Nothobranchius furzeri: one gene and its partners. The main gene of each other region encodes a partner of the protein of the gene in region 3 in a complex. Links are inferred from orthologs where the notes say so. Each region holds a gene or a part of one and is shown on either strand. Other genes may lie near its edges. The genes, in order: chrm2a, p2ry2.1, gnao1b and C5a anaphylatoxin chemotactic receptor 1-like.

The links.
Region 1: the proteins of gnao1b (region 3) and chrm2a are in contact, whole or in part, in a cryo-EM structure (PDB 7T8X), measured with the Homo sapiens proteins. The link is inferred for Nothobranchius furzeri from reciprocal best matches to the Homo sapiens genes GNAO1 and CHRM2. Residues at the interface, in NP_066268.1 of Homo sapiens: Lys24, Ile28, Ala31, Lys32, Leu195, Tyr320, Asp337, Ala338, Thr340, Asp341, Ile343, Ala345, Asn347, Leu348, Gly350, Cys351, Gly352, Leu353, Tyr354; in NP_000730.1 of Homo sapiens: Asn58, Arg121, Cys124, Val125, Pro128, Leu129, Thr130, Pro132, Val133, Lys134, Thr136, Ile209, Ser213, Lys214, Ser215, Arg216, Ile217, Arg381, Lys384, Val385, Thr388, Ile389, Cys443.
Region 2: the proteins of gnao1b (region 3) and p2ry2.1 are in contact, whole or in part, in a cryo-EM structure (PDB 9K20), measured with the Homo sapiens proteins. The link is inferred for Nothobranchius furzeri from reciprocal best matches to the Homo sapiens genes GNAO1 and P2RY2. Residues at the interface, in NP_066268.1 of Homo sapiens: Ala31, Lys32, Asp33, Val34, Leu195, Gln305, Glu309, Glu318, Ile319, Tyr320, Cys321, His322, Met323, Val334, Phe336, Thr340, Asp341, Ile343, Ile344, Asn347, Leu348, Gly350, Cys351, Gly352, Leu353, Tyr354; in NP_002555.4 of Homo sapiens: Asn66, Ser68, His130, Arg131, Gly134, Val135, Pro138, Leu139, Leu142, Arg143, Met221, Arg224, Leu225, Ala229, Tyr230, Gly231, Thr232, Ser233, Pro237, Ala239, Lys240, Lys242, Ser243, Arg245, Thr246, Leu308.
Region 4: the proteins of gnao1b (region 3) and C5a anaphylatoxin chemotactic receptor 1-like are in contact, whole or in part, in a cryo-EM structure (PDB 8JZP), measured with the Homo sapiens proteins. The link is inferred for Nothobranchius furzeri from reciprocal best matches to the Homo sapiens genes GNAO1 and C5AR1. Residues at the interface, in NP_066268.1 of Homo sapiens: Ala31, Lys32, Lys193, Asn194, Leu195, Glu318, Tyr320, Phe336, Thr340, Asp341, Ile343, Ile344, Ala345, Asn347, Leu348, Arg349, Gly350, Cys351, Gly352, Leu353, Tyr354; in NP_001727.2 of Homo sapiens: Asn71, Phe75, Arg134, Leu137, Val138, Pro141, Ile142, Gln145, Ile225, Thr229, Arg233, Ala234, Thr235, Arg236, Ser237, Lys239, Thr240, Val243, Val244, Ala303, Gln305, Phe307.

The regions. Positions count from the first base shown.
Region 1 is NC_091741.1:42,028,412-42,034,347, reverse strand, and holds the start of chrm2a (muscarinic acetylcholine receptor M2a), read right to left. Parts: upstream 3,810-5,936; 5' UTR 3,660-3,809; intron 1-3,659. UniProt on the Homo sapiens protein: The muscarinic acetylcholine receptor mediates various cellular responses, including inhibition of adenylate cyclase, breakdown of phosphoinositides and modulation of potassium channels through the action of G proteins.
Region 2 is NC_091753.1:35,783,094-35,788,934, reverse strand, and holds the start of p2ry2.1 (P2Y purinoceptor 2), read left to right. Parts: upstream 1-1,997; 5' UTR 1,998-2,141; intron 2,142-3,572; 5' UTR 3,573-4,021; intron 4,022-4,754; 5' UTR 4,755-4,771; coding exon 4,772-5,105; intron 5,106-5,841. Other genes in the region: F-BAR and double SH3 domains protein 2, read right to left, coding at 523-543. UniProt on the Homo sapiens protein: Receptor for ATP and UTP coupled to G-proteins that activate a phosphatidylinositol-calcium second messenger system. The affinity range is UTP = ATP > ATP-gamma-S >> 2-methylthio-ATP = ADP.
Region 3 is NC_091749.1:60,164,691-60,170,789, reverse strand, and holds the start of gnao1b (guanine nucleotide binding protein (G protein), alpha activating activity polypeptide O, b), read right to left. Parts: upstream 3,614-6,099; 5' UTR 3,464-3,613; coding exon 3,346-3,463; intron 3,231-3,345; coding exon 3,188-3,230; intron 1,253-3,187; coding exon 1,111-1,252; intron 901-1,110; coding exon 740-900; intron 641-739; coding exon 512-640; intron 422-511; coding exon 292-421; intron 1-291. UniProt on the Homo sapiens protein: Guanine nucleotide-binding proteins (G proteins) function as transducers downstream of G protein-coupled receptors (GPCRs) in numerous signaling cascades.
Region 4 is NC_091753.1:27,201,273-27,206,751, forward strand, and holds C5a anaphylatoxin chemotactic receptor 1-like, read right to left. Parts: upstream 3,283-5,479; 5' UTR 3,217-3,282; intron 3,051-3,216; 5' UTR 3,039-3,050; coding exon 1,989-3,038; 3' UTR 1,560-1,988; downstream 1-1,559. Other genes in the region: uncharacterized protein lbhl, read right to left, coding at 4,924-4,994.

The DNA of each region.
Region 1 (5,936 bases), on a different chromosome or scaffold from region 3:
GGGCGGATTAACAAGGGGCAGGTGAGAACAATAAAGACTAATTAAGGGCAGAGGAGAGACACAGTCAGGGAGGCAGGAGCAGATTGTGACACAGAGCTAAAACATTGTTTTGTGGTTTTCAGGCATGTGATCGATTCCTTAACCTGCTGTTCCATCTGAAGATGCTTCAATCAACCATCTACTGATTCAGATGGATCACAGATCAAGCAGAATACTGGCCTGATGTGCATATTTCATTTTTTTTGAGCAATTCAGATAAAAATAAAGTTTTAGAAAGGCATCGATGGGCTACGCTAATATGGGGGAAATGTGTTTTATTTAGATTATCAGCAAAACTAATAACTAATACAAATTTATCATTTTACTCTTTTTCTTTTTTGTATAAAGTGAGTAACCTTTATTGTATTTTTATTAATATTTGAGTCGTACTCAACAAGGATAATTTATTCTGGAAAAGGCCTCTGAGTATTAGCAGCTAGCTTCATGAGAAATCGCTTCTGATTCACTCTGACCTTTATCTACTTCAGGGAAGATGCTGACTACTCAGAACTACTCCACATGGACCCACCTCACGACCCAGAGCCACTGCAGACGTCCTTTACTAAACAGTCGCAGAAACGATCTTTTACTAACTCACCAGGCAGATTCAACCGGTTTCGACTTGTTTTACACAAATGAGTTTAAAAAAGACTTTTTATGTCCCGATGAACATAAACACAAGATTAATCATTCAGAAACTTTTTTTTGGGAGGGACTCGGAGTAGAGCCGCTGCTCCTCCGGATCAAAAGGAGTCAGTTGAGGTGGTTTGGGCATCTGGTCAGGATGCCTCCTGGACGCCTCCCTGGGGAGGTGTTTCGGGCATGTCCTGCCGGCAGGAGGCCCCCGGGTCGACCCAGGACACGTTGGAGAGGTTACATCTCCAATCTGGTCCGGGAACGCCTTGGGGTCCTGCCGGAGGAGCTGGTGGAGGTGGCCGGGGAGAGGACGGTCTGGAGCTCCCTAGTTGGGATGCTGCCCCCGCGACCCGGACCCGGATAAGCGGAGGAAGACGATGACGACGAGACGTTTTATTTTTTCTGGTGAGCACCAAATGTTTAGATAGATTCTAGTAAATTAGGACATTACTTACTGAAAATTATGAAACTAAACTGGAAGGGGAACTTGAACTCAGAGATTTGGTCTGACTGCATCACAAAGCGTATGTCAGGACTTCCAGTTTTCCTTTACATCTCACCATGAAGAGCTCATTTCCATCCACTGATGCGGGCCGAGCTCCTGTAACAGCTTTCAAGTGTTGGAAAAATGCCACACAGGCTTCAATAGCAGCTCCAGGAAGCCATCGAGCAGCTTCAGTGCACAAAAGTGCAGGTTTGAAAAAAAGAACCAAACGCCGTGCATGGCAGGCTGAACTACGTTTAACTGGTTACCTGGATTAATGCCTTAGATTTTACATAATTGATGCATAAATTAAGAGTACTTAGCGCCACCTGTGACTCTAAAATTGATTCAGCTCTAAAGGAGGAGGAAAATGTTGAGTGTTTGTGTGAAGATTTAAATATCACGTAAAATCCTGGTTCAGTTCAAACTTCCTGAAATTAAATACAGACAAAACAGAACTTCTTTTGGTTGGTACCAAGAACACCCTCTCAAAATTTGACAGTTTCTCTCTCACTGTTGATAATACTTCAGTTTCCCCCTCTCCCCAGGTCAAGAGTCTGGGTGTCATCCTAGACAGCACACTATCCTTCCAATCTTATATCAATAGCATCACACGGTCAGCTTATTTCCATCTTCGTAACATTAATCGTCTTCGCCCCTCCCTTGATGTCCACTCTACTTCTATTCTTGTCCATAGTCTGGTTACATCACGTATCGATTACTGCAACTCTCTTCTCTCAGGCCTCCCTCAGAAAACCCTCCGTAAGCTCCAGTTGGTTCAGAATGCAGCAGCACGCATCATTACTAAAACTCCCATCTCTCATCACATCACCCCCATCCTCAAACAACTCCATTGGCTACCAGTGCATACCAGGATTACCGTAAATCCTCTAATATTAGCCTGTATTCAATTAACGGCCGGGTATCATATTTTGGCCGGTGTCGGCGGAGGTGAATAATGGCCGGTATTTTATTGTGGCCGGGTGGAATGTGATAACAAGCAAGTGCCACAGGGAGGGCGGTTGTGTCATCATCTCACTTTTGATTTGGCAGCGATAGACCGCGAGGGTAACTTCAACCGTGCGGAGACGAAGAGGAGGTGAAAATTTGATATCAAGTTCAAAGAGAACGTGCTGATTATGCTGCAGAACACTGGGGAGCAATAGGGGTTGTATGAACTAGTCGACTTCACTATAGTGACTTTTTATGCCTGTCATCGACTAGTCGCTGTCACTTGATAATGACCGGCAAGATGCAGCCCTCGGAAAAGACAGCTGCCTGCTGTCAGCAGGTGACAAGCTCCTGCGCGTCGGGAGGCAACGCGCTGTGCCAGAGCGTCGGTACTGACACCCGCCGTAAAACGGACATTTAACCAAATTGTGACCTTTACCCTCTTGCAATTTAACCTTCCCCTCACCCCATCCTAACCTTAACCAGCTTGCGCATGCAAAGCTCTGATCGTTGACGCGCTCCAGACATCTGCGTCCTGAGCACGGCCACAGTAACATTATCAAATCAGGTGTCGCCACCTCAAAAACTAATTTAACACGCGATTGTTCATGTCGGCTCATTTCCTTTAACGTTTTCTGTCTTTTATTTGTGCCTGATGCGTTTCACTGCTGTGGATCACCTTGTCCTCAGGTGACGCACCGATCACTGATGCGGCCTGCAAGCAGCAAGCACTCCGCTGTTTTTGCGGTCGGTAGATCTTTTAGAACTGCAGTTAAAAGGTAACTCATAAGGTGAAGAAATAGAAATTGAGGCCTGTCTCTAATTCTGGCCCTCCTTCCAATAAAGGCCTGGAGCTTGATTAGCTTGAGTCAAATACAGGCCCGGGCCTGTATTAGAGGATTTACGGTAATTACAAGATTCTCCTTCTCACCTTCAAGGCCATCTATAACCTTGCCCCTCACTACCTCACAGATCTCGTTCACATCGTCACCTCGTCCCGTTCCCTCAGGTCCTCTGCCTCCATTCATCTCTCTGTGCCCTCCTTTCGTCTCAGCACCATGGGGAGCAGAGCCTTCAGCTGCACCGCTCCCAAACTCTGAAACTCCCTTCCCCCTTTCATCAAGAACATTAACTCATTCACAGAATTCAAAAAACAACTCAAAACTCACCTCTTCATAACCACTTATCAACTTTGAATTTTAGAGTGCCTTGTTTGTTGATGTTTACGTATGTTTACTTACTGAATGATTTGTGTTTTTATTCTGTACAGTGTCCTTGAGTGACCAGAAAGGCACTTTTAAATAAAAATTATTATTATTATTATTATTATTATTATTATTATTATTAAATTGACCCGCAGCAACAGAGAACGTTCATAAAAAAGGACATGAAAAAAACTAAATGTGTAAAGTGAGTTGGCCCAGGGAGTGTTTCTGATGCCCGTTTTAAAATATCTTGTATAATCTGGAAATGATTCGCTCGCATGGGATTGGACTTGATCTGAGTGTCAAGAGTAAACAGTCTGTTACTGTAAAGAGTCGATACTTACAGAGAGCATTAAGAAGTCCGCTGAGCTTTCTTGTGCTTCGTTGGCATATTCAGAGAGCGCGCACCGACTGCAGCACCAGAGAGACTTCTTTTTGATGGAAGGAAGCAAAGGGCAAGTCTGGCTCCAGCCTCATGGTTAGTAGCCATCTTCACTGCAAAAACACACATTAGAGATAAAGCAGGATGAGAAATGCACACGAGGACCAATGTACTGCCTTTATCAGCATCAGCCAAGCTGTAGATGAAAAGACTGATAATGCTCCTTTATCTATCTGAATATTAAACATCCAGGAGACGGTTTACTTTAGTTTATTGTAAACACACAAGATGTAACTCTGCAGGATGGACATGATGCTAAAGGAGAGAGGGTCACCACCACCCCATACGCTTCCCATCAGAGCCTTGTCCCCAGTGAAATACCTGAGCATCAAAAAGATGTACGTTTGCTAGCTCGTGGCAAAGAACCAGAAACCCAGAAAGACAAGAACCAAAACCAGTAATAACCCTACCATACATCAAAGGCATAACAGAAAAAATAAGAGCAACAATGAAAAAACACAACATAAACACACCAACAAAACCATACACAACAGTTAGAAACAGACTAGTGCACCCAGAAGACAAGATACCAGCTGGACTTAAATGTGGAGTCGTTTACGAAATCCCATGCAAACTCTGCAATAAAACATACATAGGAGAAACCGGACGCCAACTCAACACACGAACAATAGAACATAGAAAGGAGTGCGAGAAAGAGAAAAGTTGAAAACACACAAGAGCAGCAAAAGAAGAAGCAGAAGGCACAATAAAGAAGTCAGCCATAACAGATCACTGCATAAGAGAAAACCATATAATGGACTGGGACAACACAAGGATCATAAACACCGAACAACAGAAACATCAAAGATGGATAAAAGAAGCTATCGAGATAAGGAGACGTGGATGTGGGACCATGAACAGAGACGATGGAGTTTACACGTTGGACCGCGCATGGGACTGCATTGTCGGAGAGGGGAGAGCGGGCAGCAGAGGGCGACAATGTCCTCTGCTGCCCGCGGATAAACGGAGAAGGAAGTGATGCCACCATCAGCGTCAGCTCTGAGGAAGTCTGCAGCCGCAAACGAAACGTAGCGAGAAAACAGGTAACGAAACTGTTTCTGTGTTTTAAAAAGGACGACAGCATGGAATTAGCCATAAATCAGGTTCAATCATTTTGTTTAGAAATGTTATGTAAACCAAGAATCATTATATATTTTAATGGAGGGACATCATAAATTTTGTTATTATGGAAACAAAGATGTATGGTGATGGGGAAAAAAGGTAAAGTTGAGTTTAGGGGTTTTAGTTGTAGTCACTGACTGATATTAGAATATATAATATTTAACATTCACAGGACATCTATTCATACAGATTGATGAAAATATAAAAAATAAACACCTGGACTATTCAATTCCTCAATTTTCTTCTTTTTTTGTTTGCTTAATCATTTAAATTGTGAAAAATGTATGCCTGAATCACATGTATACAGTCTACCTTTTCCCCTTGTTATTTGTTATTTATTGATTTACTTTATTTATTTATTTAACTTATATTTTATGAAGATAAAAACCACTTGAGATGTGTCGTCTTATTTTCGAGCGGGTCCTCAGATTATGAACAAAATAGCAGATAAGACAGCAGAGTCCTTTACATAATCATATCACAATCACAAAAACAAACAAAACGCACACACACACACACACACACACACACAAAAGGGAAAAAAATTATGGCTCTCAAAAAATAATAGCTAGGGTCATCTTTAAAACGCATAATAATATAAGCAGACCCAGTGAGTAGGACCTGGCTGCAGACATCAGCTGGCGTTTCACCGGAAAGAACTTTCAAGTGAGAACAAGATGGCGGGTCATTACTTTAACCGGGAAATCGACGCGCGAAAGACCTCGGCCGGAAATTGGTCTTTTTTGGCGGCCGCTACATTGCTTTAGTGTTGTTGTTTCAACCACTCGGTGGATTTCAAAGAGGAAACGTAAGGATGAAATTAATGTTTGTAACCAGTGGCGGCTCCAGAAATGTTTTTCTGCAGGTGCTATGAAGGAGCTATTCTTTTTATTGAGGGTGCTATGAAGGAAGTGGTCATGCGTACCTATTGTTCTCTAAAACACCTTCAACACTAGAAGATACACATGCGTGCACAACACCTCAACAACACCTGAAACAATCATTAACATGAGTTCATAAACATATGAACAATCGCTGACTTTTTCATGAAATCATA
Region 2 (5,841 bases), on a different chromosome or scaffold from region 3:
TCAGTGCGGAGTGATTTTAGATTTTGTCAGCTCTGCCTCTTTAGATGAAACGATGTGACCCTGGGCAGATTGAAAGACTCTTTTTTTAAAACAAGATGCATCTGACAGGACAGATTTGTTGTCCTCTCTGAGGGGAATCTGTCACAATCTCACGGTGTACCAATTAGCAACATAACACTGCAGCTGGATTTAACAGTGAACCTAGAACAAGGTGCATATCTTGTGATTTCCTTTTTTACATCTTTAAAAGACAGCTAGAAATCCTAATTAATGCCACAAAGCGATGCTTTGTTGATTTCTTGACAGCCCACCTAGCGCCTTCTAGCTAACGATGTTTGACGTTTTGACGGTCGCGGCTGCTGGGCAGATGCACTCATGTCAAAAAGGTTCATGCTAACACGCCTGCTAATGTTGACTAGTAAAGGGCTTCTAAATATCACAGTCCGACACACGTGAGGTTACAACACTTGTGTGGCTGGCATTGTTTCAGCTGAAACATAACGGTCCCTGGAAATCACTCACCTTCCTTGGCGGCGGCTGCATTTTGGAGGCTTGACATGAATGGTATTTCCCTTGTGAGATGTTTTGTATTTCCAAAAGGAAATCCAAAATCAGCGTGAAAACTGATGTATGGCTTCTTCCAAGCAAGGACTCTTCCCCCCTTTTTAAGTCTCGACGACAGGGGAGGAAAGATGGGAGTTAAATTTGGACTCCGGCGGCCATGATTGATGATAAACGGCCAGTTTACAGAGAGCCGAAACTGAGGCTACGAGGAGAGGCAGCACACGCTCGTGGTGCTTGCTGCCACTACGAGTGTGTACTGTACTGTTGTGGAGCAGAGGAGGGAGCAGACAGAGAAGAAAGAGCGGAGGGGAGAGAGGAGGAAGGGATGGGGTTGTCAACAGGAGCCCGCTTCAGGAACTAGGTTCAATGGCGCCACCATGTGGTCAAATACGGGACAGCAGCAGGTGTCTGATTAAAAAAATACACAACAAAACGGTCTCGATTTCGATTTATACACCTGCACGCGTATCAAACAAAATAAAGCTACAAAACGCACATTTACTGAGGTGTCCGGATAATCCCCCCAGCATTAATTTGTTTTCCTTTTTTGCTGCAAAAGCTTGCTCAAGGAGAGCAGGGAAGAGGCAGACCCGCATAGCAACAAGACTCCGCAGTCAATTGCAGAAAAATCGATCGCGTTTCAAAAACAATTAAAATGTTTAAAATGAAGCTTTATCCCTTTTAAAGTGCAGTTTGATTTAAATTAAGCAAATAAAAAGATCAATAATGGCACGAAAATGAATAAAAACGCAGAATAATGGAAAATCTTCTTACTCGTGGAAACAATTGCTTGTTTAACCCTTTCAGGTAGTATTTAGCTGACAATTGTGAACTTTTTTGTGCAGCATCAGAGTAAAAATTAAATGGGACCTAGAAAACATAAAGAGCTATACATCACAGCATAATGCCCCTGAATCATTGCATGAATCATGAGTCATCACTCCAGTTGTATTTGCAAACCTGTCATGATTTATTATCTAATTTAAATTTGAGATCTTTTTCAACACATAAAAGGGTTTTCATATACACACGGCAGAAACCTCCCATTTAAAACTCAACTTCCTCATTCCATAATTTTGCATAATGACCTTTACAAAGCAGCAATGTGATTTATACAATCCACTCAAGGTCGAGACCGATGGCTGAAGATCAAGAAAATGCACTCGTGCATTATAATTTCTCTGGAATCAAAGATGGCTGCTTCAATCTAAAAAAATAATATATGCACTAGTACTACTGGTTTTTCTTTTTCTCGCTAATAATATAAGTTAATCAGATAAAACACCCAGATAAAACCAGTTAAAACTGAGTCATAGATAGACAGGTTAAAGGACAGGTAATCATTAATGCAGAAAGCTCCTGGAGCAGGTGAAGCATTACGCACTGTTTTTCACCTTTCTTTTCACTTTAACACTTCAAACTGACACTTTCACGTTGGCATCCAGAGAAACCAGACACATCAGCACAGAAGAAAAATGGATCACAGTCACTTAGAGTTTCTATTTATTTGTTAGGGTACTGAGATAGATATTTTGGATTTATAAAAGTGGATTTAGTTTTCCTTTTACCATACTAAGGTAAGCAAAAAATTGTCTAATTCAAAAACTAGGACTTTATAATTGTTTCATTCAAAACAGAACGTTTTTTTTACGTTGGGCCCATGTGGAACGTTATTGTGAAACATCAGGCATTCCTTTTAGTCAAGTCTGAATTGTAGTTTTAGTGACAAATATTCACAGATGGACACAAACACCTATAACCCAAACTGGATACTGTTAGGTACTATTTAAGTGATGAGTTTGATGTAAAATGTTTAACATCTCACAGTAACTTTACAGTGAAATTGAGGAATGCCGCAAAAATAATTAATCTCTAAACAAATTAAATTTAATGCTGTGTCCTAAATGTGTTTTAAATTAAAATATATATATATGTCATAATGAGATAATAAATGTGTAATAACATCTTCTGTGTTTATTATTTTTAATAATCATCCATCATTCAGAAGCAAAACAGAGGCATGGTAAAAATAAATGTACAAAAACACTCAATAGTTTTTTACCATATTGCCATTTATTTATTTTATTTATTCATTTTTAAACTAGCAAAGTCCCATTGGGATTAAAAACCTCATTTTCCAGGAAGTCCTGGACAAGAGGCAGCAAAAGTTACAGTCACAACATTTCTCAGTTACACAGTTATGTACAGAATCACAGAAGGCAGTTACAACACAGGAAATCCGTCTGGTTTTAAATGTATTCAAGGATCAGTTAATTTCCAGTTTTCTTGCAACCTGTTTCATGAAGAAAGAGCAGAACTCCTTAATAAAGACAATTAAGTCAAAGTCGCTAATCTGTGAAAAACAAAGTATGCTGTGATTCAGTGGCATGGCTGTGGCCTGCATGACTTTTTCAGCCGCTGGAATGGTTTTAAAGCCTCTCCTGGACTGATGGGAGAAAACCGTTTCATCTCTATCATTTAACGTTTACACAGAAAGAAAAATCACAAAGCGATTCACAAAGAAAACCACATCAAAATTAATATGTTATTAAAAGACAAGAGACAAACAATAAATAAAAAATATATCATAATACAGATGAAAGATGATTAAAAACAGAAGAGGTCATTGTTAACACACGCTTGAATGCTCCTGATCAGCCAAACACAAACAGCGCTTGCTTGATGACGCGTGAAGATGAGAAAATTAATTACCCGCTGACGCTTTCACGTTCAGCCTTTCCACCTATTGACCTTATTTTGGTTATTGTAGAATCTATAGTTTAGTTGGTTTTTTTTTTCAACATTTGAGGTTATTAGTGCCACTTTGTTCTGTCTTGTCATGTTCAAACAGGTTTTTCTTTTTTGTTTGTTTGTTTTTGACGATCTACATAAAATATTTCAGACAAGTCTCCTTTTTTGTGTGTTTTAAAAACAAGTTTTATGAGTGTAAAAACAAGCGTTTGTTGAGGCTGTTGAGCCTCTATGATGAATGTCCAATTCACATTCAGCATCTGAGCCTTCGGGGCTGAGACGTGCCAGCTGCAACTTGTCAGATCAACACACACCTCAGAGATTTCAGCAGCTCGAGTGTCAGACACACATACACATGCACACTGAGGATACACCGCTCAGGAGAGCCAGCGTGATGCACTGAAATGGTGTGAGTAACATCCTGTTTGATGAGTTTTAAAGATGTTTATGTGTGAAAGTTTGCCGGATTTGTAAGATTTTGTCTCAGCGTGCACACAGCTGCTAAGAAGAGCGAAGGTTCATTTCCAAAGCCGCCGCTCTGTCTCTGGTCTGCTCTCTGTTAAAGCTCAAATGAAACAGTTTGAAGTGGAAAAAGGAAAAGAAGCGGGAGAGCAGAGTGCTCAGTCAGGACAAGCAGCTGTTTCTTTTTAACAGAACACATAACATCAGAAGGAGAAAAGGAGCTTCCTGATCATCTGAGAAGTGTGTAAGTCATGTTATTTTCTGCATTAATGAACTTGTTTTAACTTGAGCTTGCCAGCTTAACAGAGCACTTTAGTCTGAGAGAGGCTCTACTGTGCATGCTGGTGGAGAGAGAAGAGGAAAGAAAATGTGAGAAGGGTCTGAAAACAGTCTGGTTCGAGTTAGACGATCCCAGCTGTAAGCTCTTAGAAAACTCTGGCATACCGTGTGAGGGTTGATGTTCTGCAGGAGAACATGGCTGCAGGGAACATTTTGTTAAAGCTCGCTTCCACACGACCACCTTGTGTGAAACAAATATTAATGATTTGTGGTCAAAGGTGTTTAAAGGTAAACCAGAGAAGCAGTAAACACCTGGATTTCATGCTTTGATTTGACTGGATTAGAGCTGCCAAGCCAACATGTTGCATAGACTAAGATTAGTAAGTAAATGAATTAAATAAATAAATTAATTTAATTAATTATTTAAACTTTTAGTCTAGAAAAAAGAACAAGCAAAGATTAGATTTTTTAAAAACGCAATGAGATTTAACCCTCTGGAGGCAGGCGTTGCAGATTTGCAACAGTTAAAACCTACCTACCTGGTTACTCCACGTACGTGTTTCATGAGTATTTTTAACTCAGAAGTACTCCTGAAGGACTTAGTTGTTCGTCCTTTTATCAAAACTTATTTTTGAGCCTGAGAGGGTTAAAGCTAATTCAAGCTTCATTTAAGATCAGTTAAATTCCTGTTTCCTCAGGTGTTCTCACAGCCAACATGTCCTCCTTTGGCCCCAACATGACCAAACAGCCCAACTCCAGCACCTTCTGTGTGTTTAATGAAGAATTTAAGTACATCCTCCTTCCCGTCAGCTACACCCTTGTCTTTGTGATTGGCCTGGCGCTGAACGCCATGGCGCTCTACGTCATCGTGTGCCGCACAAAGCACTGGAGGCCCTCCACCATCTACATGTTCAACCTCACCATGTGCGATACGCTCTACATCTTCACTCTGCCTTTCCTCATTTACTACTACGCCGACGAGAACGACTGGCCCTTCAGCGAACCCGTCTGCAAGCTGATACGCTTCCTGTTTTATGCCAACTTGTATGGTGTGGAAAAACAACACAACACACTCTCAGATGTCCACAAAAACAAAGACAGATCTGTTCTTTTTGGGTGGATTTGTGTGGAAAAACAATCAGTTATATACCTGTGGTGGATAGGTATTTGAACAACCTCAGTCTGGAGAAGCCGAGATTAGATAAGCTAACGGTTAGGTGAGACGAGCCAGGAACAAACACTCAAAACAGCTCAGGGTGTAACATAATTAATTGGAATTTAATAATTTTGACAAACATAATCATGTACTGCAGAGCTGACGGCAGTGCAAGTCTGGAAATATACTTGCTTTTAATGATGTGTGCGTGTTTAAAATGGCTGTCTCGTGTGACTTGCCATGATTTGAAGCATCATTTGTGTGCGTCCCCTGAAATGAACCCGACATGTTCTCATGCTGCAATATACGAGTAACCATTAGACGGCGTTAACGAAATCTGGTTTGGAGTTAGGGTCAGTTACTGATCTCTTCTATTGATGCCATGTTTGTTTTAGTTGTATGTACAAACCCAGCTCTCTATCTGGTGTGGGTTATCTACTGTGCCCCCTAGCGGAATTCTCCAGTACTGCATGCAGTGCAGTGCTGTACAGCAGCAAGTTACAGCAGCAAGTATGTGAACAAAGGCACTGCCTGCTGCCTGCATCAACTGCAGGTTAAAAAGCAAGTGTATTCCAGGCCTAACAGTCTTTTAAAATAATAATTTCCATTTATCCTTAGAGATCGGAGCC
Region 3 (6,099 bases):
TCTCGGTCTGCCAGGCAACAGCATGTGTTACATTTTTCAAACATGAAGTGGGAGTGGAGTTAGACTCTGGTAGGGGGTGACTTGCTCTTTAACAAACATACAAAGCTATGAAAGTTCAAAAGATTCAGTTCTGGGGATTAAAGCATGGTGCTTGTTGTGTGAATCAAAGTCTGTGAAATACAAATAAAACAGATTTTTGTGTTTTGACTGATTCTGGACTCATTGGTGGCACTGGTTCACCTTTCAGGTGTGCGTTCCACAGTAAATTCTGCTGAGTTGCTGAACACTTACAGTTGTTTCGTCTTCATGGAGCACCTGGTCATATCCGCTCAGAGCAACGCAAAAGATGATAGCTGTCACATCCTCAAAGCAGTGGATCCACTTTTTCCTCTCTGACCTCTGACCTCCGACATCAAACAGCCTGAAAAAGGAGGCAGGAAAACAAATCAGGTGTTGAGCTACAACTGTTGAACTTCATCTTAGACGCCTGTTCTGAGAGGCTGAGCTTTACCTGAAATGAAGGTTTTTGAAGGTAAAGTGGGTTTCAACGATGCCAGTTGTCTTCACTCGGGTCCTCAGGATGTCCTGCTCTGTAGGCTGATAGTCCAGGGCTCCGATTCGGTCTAGACTGTCCAGGTAGCTGTCGAAAACAGGAAGTAGGGTTGATAAACGCTCTGGATTAGTGGCACAATGTTATTTCTGAGCAGAGGCTTTTAGGAGGTGTTTTTGCTGTACTCACTATTGAGCAGAGTCATTAAGCTGGTATTCTCGGGCACGGTTGAAGCACTCCTGAGTCCCGGCGTCGGCCCATAAACGCTTCATAGCAGCGAGAAGCTCTGCGGAGTACGGCTCCGTGTCCTCCATACGACTGACGACATCACAGACCAGCTTGGCATCGGCCTGGATGAAACATGTTTCATAAGTTCAGAGGAGCAGAAGAAAAAATGTCTGCTTGTTAATTATTTACCAGCAGCTCAAACGACTTTCTGGGATGATTTGCAGTCATTTCTTTACTGTCACAGGTCAAATATTCCCAGAAAATGTTTTTTTATCTTTAGGAAAAGCAAAGCTAATCTTTAGAAAACTTGGTAGGATATGAGTGAGACTAACTTTCCGGTCCTTGTCTCCAAACTCAATCCCGAGGGAATCCATGGCTCGGAGGATGGCTGCCAAGCTCTGGATGGTGTTGCTGTAGACCACTGGCTTATACTGCTTCACATCATCCCCAGAAAAGCCATCTTCATGGATAATCCTGCATGCGTACGGAGATATTATCAAAGCCTGGACCGAGCAGGAAAAAAGTTGCAAATGTCCATATGTTCCTGCGTTACAAAACAGCTATCTTGTTACAATAAAAGCCCCAGGTTTTTATGAAACTCAGTAGGCCTGCGTGTGTGTGTGTGTGTGTGTGTGTGTAGTGATTATTTTATTATGTTTGTTCTCATCCTCTCCCCATGTTTCTCTCATCTAAGCATGAGCCTAACGGGAAATGGTCATATTCTCTCTCTGCGATGTGTAACCGGGCAGTAATGTGATATTTCAGTCATTTATAATTCATGAACTGAAATCAATCAGACCACTGATCAATCACGGCTCCACAACTCTGGACTGTTAAACTTCTTACAGCATTAAAGCATCCATCAGCGGCACATCTTCACCCTGACCAGATCTATAAAACATCCTCCAGAAGCCCACTCCCACAGCTACTTCATTCTCACCGCCGTACAGCAAGGAGGGGTGGGGTTAAAAGAAAAGATGTGGGATGATTGTTTTCATCTCATCAGGGCACATTATGAAAAGATGTTTCACAGCCGACTACAGCCACCTGGCCTGAATCTCCAGCACCATCATCACAATTAACAGTTTTATGAAATACAATAAATTGACCCTCAGGGGAGGGGGGGTGGGGATGAGCTGAGGCTGAAGCTTTATGGAGCAAACAGATGAATATTATCAACTTGAACATTTGGAAAGACTAAATGCTAATAATAATAATAATTATTATTATTATTATTATTATTATTATTGTTGTTGTTATTGGTTTTAAAGAATAACTTATCAGCAGTAGTTAAAAAATAAACCGCTGATGTTTCTACAGCAGCCTACTTGAGTAATTATTAAAATCTACAACGCCCTTTAAATTGTTCTTGAAGTCAACTCGTCCCTGTTAGTTTGGACATGACTCCACCGTCTCGCTCATGGGCCAAACCAGAGAAGCTCGTCTGGATGTGAAGATGATGGTGATGAGGATGAGGCAAAGAATCACAGCAAAGCCCAGTGCATGAACCCTCCGATACCTAGACTTTATGACCCAGAGCATGTAGTAAAACCCATCCATCTGCTGCTGGCCCGTGGCTAAAGCAAGCCCGGAGAGTATTTGTAAACACTATTTGGACCAGCATCTTGGTTCGGAGCAGAGCAGTAAGTTATGGACAACCAGGGAGCTCTGGGAGGGTAATGAAGAGGAAAAAGGGAGGGTGCAGTGAGTCGATGCAGAGTGCAGAGCAGAGCAGGAAGGAGGAGACACTCAGATGCTGCTCACAAAAGAGCTGCTGCATGGTTGACGGGACAAAATGTGAAAGAGCTCTGGTTTTTTGTGCAGAAACATCTAGAAACTTGACTAAGAGGTTTACATGAAACAAAAGCAGTCGTTTAAAACACCAAAGAGTCATTTAGCTCAGACACGAAAAGGTTTAGATGCGGTTTTAGGAGCCATATTTCTGCGTAAATCCGCTTTATAGGCAAAGTACTCCCGGCGATATCAGGCACTTAAAGCCATTAAGATTAAAAGCAGAGGTATTCACTAATGGAACAGCAGTGACCTCACTGTAATTCACACACGCACGCGCGCACACACACTGCACACACACACACACAGACACAGACACACACACGTCCCCAGTGGCACACTCCCCGTAGTCAAGCAAAACCTTCGTTAACTACATTTCAGCACCCCGGCAGTGAACAGCACCCTGGGACGCACCGGCGGCCTCCGCAGCCCTGCTGACGGTCTGCAGGAGGTGCTCGAGTCACCGGTGCTCCTCCGGGGCTTCGGCCTCTCGGAAACATGGCGGCTCAACCTGCCTTAGTGCTGACAGGGGAGGCGCAATCTCAGGCCTTTCACTCCGGCTGAGTTGGAGAATACCGATATGATATAAATAAATAAACAAATCAGGCTGACACTTACTTCATTTGTTTGACGATGGTACTTTTCCCGGATTCTCCGCCGCCTGCAAAGAACGGAGGGCAGAGAGAGAGCAGGCATTGAAATCAGTACCACGGAGAGCACCTCCGCCCCACGCAGTCCCAGCAGCAGCCCCGCGGCCGCGCCGCCGCTTCCCTTACCGAGCAGGAGCAGTTTGACGTCCTTGGCGGCGACCAGCCCGTCCTCCTTCAGGTTCTTCTCGATGGCCTTGCTCCGGTCCAGAGCTGCGCGCTCCTCGGCGCTCAGTGTACACCCCATGTTTCCAGGCGAATGAGCGGTCCCGTCGAGTCCCCAGTCCGCCCTGTCCCTCTCCTGCTCTCGGTCGCCGCGGTGTCTCTCAGTCTCGCTCTCCTCCCGCGCTGTCTGCTACAGCATAGGCCCGGATTCGGAGCGGAAAATAGAGCCGGGATCCCGAAACAGTCTTCTCTCCGTGAATGTGCACTCTCCGTTCCGTCCCCTCTCTCAGAGGGGGGTGGGGGGGTGGGGTCGCTGTGCGCTAGCCTGCAGGGTTGGGGTTGTTGTTAGGCGGGGAGAGCGGGGGGGTCTCGAGCTCTATCTCTCTACAGGGCGGCGCTGGTGATGATGACAGAGAGCACGAGCGATTTCACCGTATACTTTCACGAAGGCTGGCAGGAGGTGGTATGGCAGGCTGTTACCGCATATAATCAACAACGTTTTACATGTCTCCTGTTCAGAAATAGGTCGATTTAAATTACATTTTTGAAAATTCTGATTTAAGGTGGGTTGGTGTGTAATCGGTCACATGGCATCGTATCGAATTTAAAATATATTGCGAGCTTAAAAGAGTTTTAATCATAAGATGGATATGTAAGGCATCGATTGTTCAATTATTTTAGCGGAAATATACATTGCAAGTTTCTAAAAAGGCCGTTTTTATGCTCAGTGAAAATCTGACATATGTCAGTCATTCCTTCTTAAATTATTGAACGCTTCCCACTAGTGTTGTGGGCTTTCTTTTATACACAGATCTAGGCTACATGGTAAAACAATACGAAAACACATTTTATTTAACATTTCTGCTAAAAATTCCAATTCACACGTTTTATACAAACGGTAAGTCAAATATTCCTACCGCTAAAATTAGCTAAATTTGGTCATTTTGCATCAGAAACATTAAGGAAATAAAATTTTCAACAAAAATGCTTCCTAAAAAAACTTTGTCCAAATGTAAAAAAAATATCAAACTTACATTATAAATGAGAAATCATTACAATAGTTTTAATCGCACACACAAGAATTAACTATTTTGAGTTCACGTTTCTATGATACATTTGCTTCCCACACAGGGATGGCCGCGCGAGACTCACCTAACAATCTGGTTTACGTCAGAGCTGTCAAGCTCTAATCACGTCCGGTGAAAGATTTAAATGGAAAAGACTCCTAAATGGCAAATGTTACCCTCCTGCCTGGTGTTACTGGTGTGTTCTTGTAATGAATTAAAATGTCCCAACTTGGCCACCGTCGCTCTTATTCTTGTTCTCCAGGACCTGGGTGACGTTTAATCATGTCAACAACATTAAGTAGGTCTGAAAAACACCCGGTGGTGGTCACGGAACACCAGGTGAACATTTAATTACGTCAAAAATATAGCACGTTAACCGGGTTAAATGCGTTAAAATACTCATTAGTGAATTTATTTTTACAGATTTTAAAGGTGAATAGCAAATTCTACACAAGGTGGGTGAGAAACTAAAAATAGATTATTGATCACCTGATGCTTGTGCGAAATAACAGCACTTCACTATAAATTATGATCTTTTAAATTAAAAATTAATTTCACTGCTTAACAGTTTTTCATGGAAATCAAATATAATTTATGCAAATACTTATTAAAAGCAGAAAATTCAGTAGTAGGCCTATAGCGCATATATATATATATATATATATATATATATATATATATATATATATATATATATATATATATATATTTATATATATATAAAACATCAGCCATTTTCAAATTTGTTTTTTGTTGGCAAAAATAAAATATTCTCCTACACTGAGTCAGATTCAAGCAAAAAAAATCACTTAATGCATTAAATGTTAAGCTCTGTTGAAGTATGACCACAGACGGAATTTTTTTAATAATGTTACATAATACCACTCTTTATGTAAATTAATTGCTCTCCATTATTGATATTAAAAAATAAAAAGACATACTGTTTCACCTGGTTCAGAATTACAGCAGCATGAGAAGTAGCCTATTTCTTCCTTGATGTTGTCTGTTTTTGGTAAAAATGTTCACATCACGAAACAAATTGCTGTATTACAAGACAAAATAAACGCAAAATGCAGTTTTCAAATGATGATTTTATTCATTAAGGAATAAATATGAAGGTCGTTGTCGTTCAGTGTCCGAACTTGTACATCTGTTGTGTTTGTGCAACATGATGTGAGCTTGAAAACTCAGATGTGTGTGTGTGTGTGTGTGTGTGTGTGTGTGTGTGTGTGTGTGTGTGTGTGTGTGTGTGTGTGTGTGTGCAGTACAGTGTGAGAAGCTGCACATCAACACATGTAAATTTGTAAAGAGAAATATGTACTTGTAAGAAAAACGGACATGCATGTGAAATAAAACAATGTTGTTACATTTTCAACTACAAGTTTGTGAACACAAGTCTACAGATCCGTTTCTATGCATGCTCAGCTCTTCTCTTACAAGTGTACAACTCTCCTCTCTCACGTGTGACTTTGAAGCACTTCTTGCAGGTTGTTCTGATTAAATCTCTGCTGCAGAGGCGAGAATGGAGCAGAGGAAGGAGAGGGCAGGGAAACAGAATCAAATCAATCAGTGAGAGCTAAAATTTCCCCAAGTTAGCATTAGCTAAACATTCTGGGTAAGTTCATTTTCAGTGACTTTCTGTCCTTAATTT
Region 4 (5,479 bases), on a different chromosome or scaffold from region 3:
CACGTTTGGTATGATTTGGCTTGGTTTCAATTCAGATTCCTGTTATTTTTATTTGATTCCCCAAATCAGGAAAAATAAATCACACCCCTTTTACGAGAGACTTTTGGAAAGTATTTCCAGTTATTCAGACATTTAAAAGTCCAGGTAAAAGCATTAATTCCAAAGAGGTTTGTGTTGCACTCAGTCGACAAACTCTAGACCCATTTCCACTATTTACCAATCAGATAGTGAAACACTGAACAGGGAATGAATGCATGTGACTTTAATCTACTAGTTTCTGCTCCCAGCTCTACAGCTTTTATCACTAGTGAGCTTCAGCAACTCAACTCTGGGTTTGATAAATGCGGTTTTAACCTAACAGTGTATAATATGCATGTGTTTTTAGTATGTTAAAACACAGTTTTCTGTAAAACACACTCTGTAAATAGCCCTGTTTCTGTAAATTCCATCATGAGGCCTTGTTTGGAATGAATGTAGCTTGTAAAGTGTAATTTTTCTCTCAATTTTGGTACTTTTTTTGTACACAGTTGGTTTTCTTTTCTACGAGATGCAATAAATGGCTGAAGGTACATTTCACAGAACTCCTGAGTGGCTGTACACTTATTTGACACAATGTTAAAGTGACAATGTGTAGTTTTTATTGTTAATCTCTGGAAATATTCAACGAAATGTTGAAAATGAATAAAATGATGTCCTGTTGTTGAAACATATTGGCGGTTTCGTACCACATAACCATAAAAATCAAGTCTAAAGTTAAAGTTAAAGTCAAAGTTAAAGTCCCATAATTTGTCACACACACAGGTGTGTGTGCGAAATTTGTTCTCCGCATTTGACCCATCCCCTGGGGGAGCGGTGAGCTGCAGACACAGCCGCGCTCGGGAACTATTGGTGGTTTAACCCCCCAATCCAATCCCTTAATGCTGAATGTCAAGCAGGGAGGCATTGGGTCCCATTTTTTCAAAGTCTTTGGTATGATCCGGCCAGGAATCAAACCCCTGATCTCCCAGTCTCAGGGCGGACACTCTACCACTAGGCCAGTGAGAAGTAGACAGGGTATGGATGCCATGTTTTCTTCTTGCTGTCTCGGGTTCCTGTGCCTGTCGACTGCATCACTCTAGATGATTGGCTGGACGTACAACTTACCGAAGTTACGACACCACATTCAAGAACATTTAGGTAGTAAAAAGCATGGATTTAATAACAAAACTGCCAAAATCTCTCCAAAACAATTGTGAAAGAACAGAAAAAGAGATTAAAAATGTCCCAAGTGGTATTGCCGTAGTATGATGACATCATCAGCAGGCCTAAAAGTTCATTCCAAATATTTCAATCCTGGTCTTCGAGGTTTACTTTGCTGAAGCTTTTAACTGTTCCTCTGCTTTAAGATGTCTGATTTGATTGGTTCAATGACCTTTCCCACATGTCCCAAAGTTCTGTAGAAGCCAGTTAATCAATTATTGATTCAATCAGATGGTTTGAAGCAGAAGCATCAAAAACAGGCAGGATAGTTCACCTTCAGGACTAGAATTAGACTGATTCAGAGTATGTTTCCCTCTTGAGGTTGTTTTAAAAACTGCCACTCAGAGGCAGACTTTTTATTTGTCATTTCCACAAAATGAGCGAATGTTACAAACTCATGTTACAAAGTGTGTTACAAGATTTAATTCTAAATTTCAAATACATAATTTAAATACTACAAAAATGTATAACATGCTGAGATTTAAAAAAAGTGGGAGAAGTGTCAGTTGCTTGGTTGCATGAGGCACGGGTGTCACAATCTCACAGACTGGGCAACATTTCCTCATTTGCAACACCGAGTCAGAGTGGAAAACTCAAACCGGCCCAAGCATGGGACAAAAAGTCCTTCCCGTCCTGACTTTCAGAATCATGACATGCATCATCACTTTTTATTAAAAGTATGGTCAAATCCAAGAGTTTATTCCAAAGTAAGGTAGGAAGTTTGAATCTGGTGTATTTTAAGAATGTGATTAAATCTTAGTCATTTCCTTTCCACTGCTGGTGCTCTTGGTGTCACTCTGTGCAATGGTCCCTTTAAAGCTCGGATCCTCGGTGGCGAAATGCAGGATGTTGCGCAGAGAGCGGTTCATGCTGTGTTTGAAGTTTCGACCCATGCACACATAGATCAGAGGGTTGAGGCAGCTGTTGAAATAGGCCAAGCACTGAGCTAAGGCTTGAGTTATGTACAATGTTGGCTTCCATGGGGAAATAGAAGGGGTCGCAATGTAGAGGAAATCCAAGATGTGCAGGGGGAGCCAGCAAAGAAAAAAGGTCAGCACCACTGCAGCAATCACCTTTACAGTTCGCTTGGACTGGTTCCGACCACGGGACAGCCCGCTCTGGGTTCTGCTATACACCAAAAGGTGGCAGATGAGAATAACCAAGAAGGGGAGGATGAATCCAATGATGAAGCGAAAGGAGGCGATGGCCCAGACGTTGTTTCTAGAGTACACCATCACACACTCTCTCTTCTGTTTGCCTGCCTCGATCTCCCGGGCGTAGACAAACTGTGGGATGCTTACTAACAAGGACAGATACCACACAGCCACACACCCTAAGACAGCATGCATGGGTTGCCTGTTGTTCTGACACCAGATGGGTTTTTTGACCATCACCAGGCGATCCAAACTGATCACAACCAGCTGCAGGATGCTGCAGTACATCACAAAGTAGAACAGACCTTTGACCAGCGTGCAGGCCAGCGGGCCGAAGTGCCAGTGGTCATCAAAGGCCAGAGGTACCATGAGCAGAGGGACAGAGAGGCAGCACAGGAGGTCAGCCAGAGCAAGATTGAGGAACCAGAGGGAGGTGACGGAACGGCTCATGCAGAACCCGGTCACCCACACCACCAGAGCGTTACCGGGAACTCCCAGCAGAACGACAAGGCTATAGAAGACCAGAGTGGCTATTTGGATGGGTTGGATCTCAGGGAACAATTGATTTGTCTCATTTGTCGTGAAGTTATAGTCGTCCAGCTCAAGGATGTATTCATCAGCGGTGGTGTCAAAAAAGTCATCCATGGCTCGTCAAAGCTGTAGGTGAGAGGAAAAGCATTATCACCAATGAAGATTATTACTCGAGTGATGGATAAACATCAGTCAGTTACGAAAAATGTTCCATAAAATATTTAACATCTACACTTACATTATTGTGTTTTTTTAATGTATAAAATTAGATTTAATAGATGTTTAGACTTACGGCTGATTGGGACATTGGCGATGCACTCTCACTCCTAACAGGAAGTTGTGAAGCTGTAGCAAAGCTTTTTATGTTACAGCCCCAACCCCTTCAGTACACACACACACACACACACACACCTACACGCATGCACGCACACACTAGTCTAGCATTCATTGTGAGGACCATCACTGACTTCCATTCATTTTAGTGACTGGATTACCCTAACCTTAACTAAAACTTAATTCACACCAAACCTCTAAAACTAACCAGTAGAGCTCTGTAACATTAGTACCAAAGTGAGGACCAGCTAAATGTCCTCACTTTGGTACTAATGTCCTCAGTTTACAGGTAAAAATACTTGTTTTGGTCCTCACTTTGGTGTATAGACACCTAGACACACACACACACACACACCTACAGTCTGATTTATTTAATATTCCACACACAACTCACACATATTCCTCATTTGACCTGGTCAGCGCTTGTTGCTCTTTTTTTATCATTTTAGGACAATTTCAGATTTGATTGTTTTTTGTAATTACCGGTACTTGATTTGTTTATTTTTTTCATTATGCAGTAACTTGTTGTTGCAAGTTAGAACTTATTTTACATAGAAGAGCTGAAATATTTTAATCACTTTAAAATACTTGTTATTATTAATAATAATACATAATAATAACAACATATTAAAATAAAAATAAACGTAAATCCTCATAAAGATGCTTCCAGCACTCAGTAGAAAAGGACAACCACTAAGCGGATATTTGTTAGAGGCATTTTATTCTTTTTTATTAAATGCAAACATGCATCAACTTTTTAAAATAACTGATGGTATAATCTGCATCATTTTACATTATTGAGGTTTCCTGTTCATATTTTCTTCCCTCCACTCCTTTTGCCAGGTCTGCCTGACTGAGACCATTAAAGTTGTTTTTATCTTTTGTAGAAATTAAGTTATAATCTCTTTTTTCTACTCCCACATAATTTATCTTCATAAACAGTGACTTTTACATTCCTGTTGCAAAATCATGCTTTGCAACATTTAATATGTGTAATTTAAAGGTTTGACATTAGTAAAAAAAGAAACATCCTCATTATGTTCTGAATTTGCTACAAAGCAGCTACAGAAAAGTATTATACCACTGGAGAATAAATACTTTATTGTCAAATTAAAATATTCATTTTTATTATATACAAGTCATTGAAATGTGTCTGTTTTCACATGAAGGGATGTAAGAAGTGGAGTTTGTCTTGTTTGTAACAAAAATGACCGTCCAGTCCGCAAAGAGCTTTACGATGTTTTACTACAGAAGGAATAAGCAAGTAAACATCCTAATGAGCCACACAGAGCTTCATTTAAGGATTCACGAGGAAAATACTAACTATTGTTTGTGTTAGAGACAGAAATGAAGCAACATTTAAATTAAGGTGGAAACTATTGCTGATCAGGATGTATTTTGGGAGTTTGCGCTATTCTTTTTCCAGGGAAATGAAACGCAAACTTACAATGTCAGCAACATGTTAAAAATAAACAGAGGAGGAGAAAAATGGCATGTTTTTGCCTGTCATACATTCATTTAGCAATGAAGAAAACAATCCATTATGTACATTTCTTTAACCTAAAACTTTGTTTTTGCTGAGTTCATCCATGGAGGAGTTTAGTCACACTTGTTATCGTTCATTTCTGGGAGTTTCTTCACAGATTGAGGAAGAAGGAGAGCTTAGTCAGTTGAAGGCTGGAGCGCTGTTGGGTGGAAGTGTTGGAGTCTCATCTCTAAACGCATCGGACTGCAGGTCTGCAGAAACAACATGACAATGTGGTTATGTCGTCATTTACAGCACTTCACATACACCGTGTAAGTCAGAACGCCCTGTCAGGAATCTCCTAACTCTTACTTCCTGAATAATTTTCCAAAACTGCATCATCAAACCAGAATTAATACAGGTTTACAATGACTGGCTAAAGCAAAAAGCATTTTTCACTAAGTCACACAACACTGGATAAAATAAAAGGCACATTTTCTTTTGGAAGAAAAATGTGCAGAGGAGGCATTTTGGGAGGAAAGAAAGAAAGTTAAGGAGAGAATAAAAACAGGAAGGACGTTCAAGTCAGAAGGAGGTTTAAACGCACATTTCCCTATTTTAACTTTAGAAACAACATAGAAGATCTGGTCATTATAGGCTGTAGGGCTATGAGGTAATAAAAAGTCACATTTGTTTTCAGGAACCAAACAAAAAAAATATGTTCTGAGAGATTCATGCATCAAATGCACTATATTAA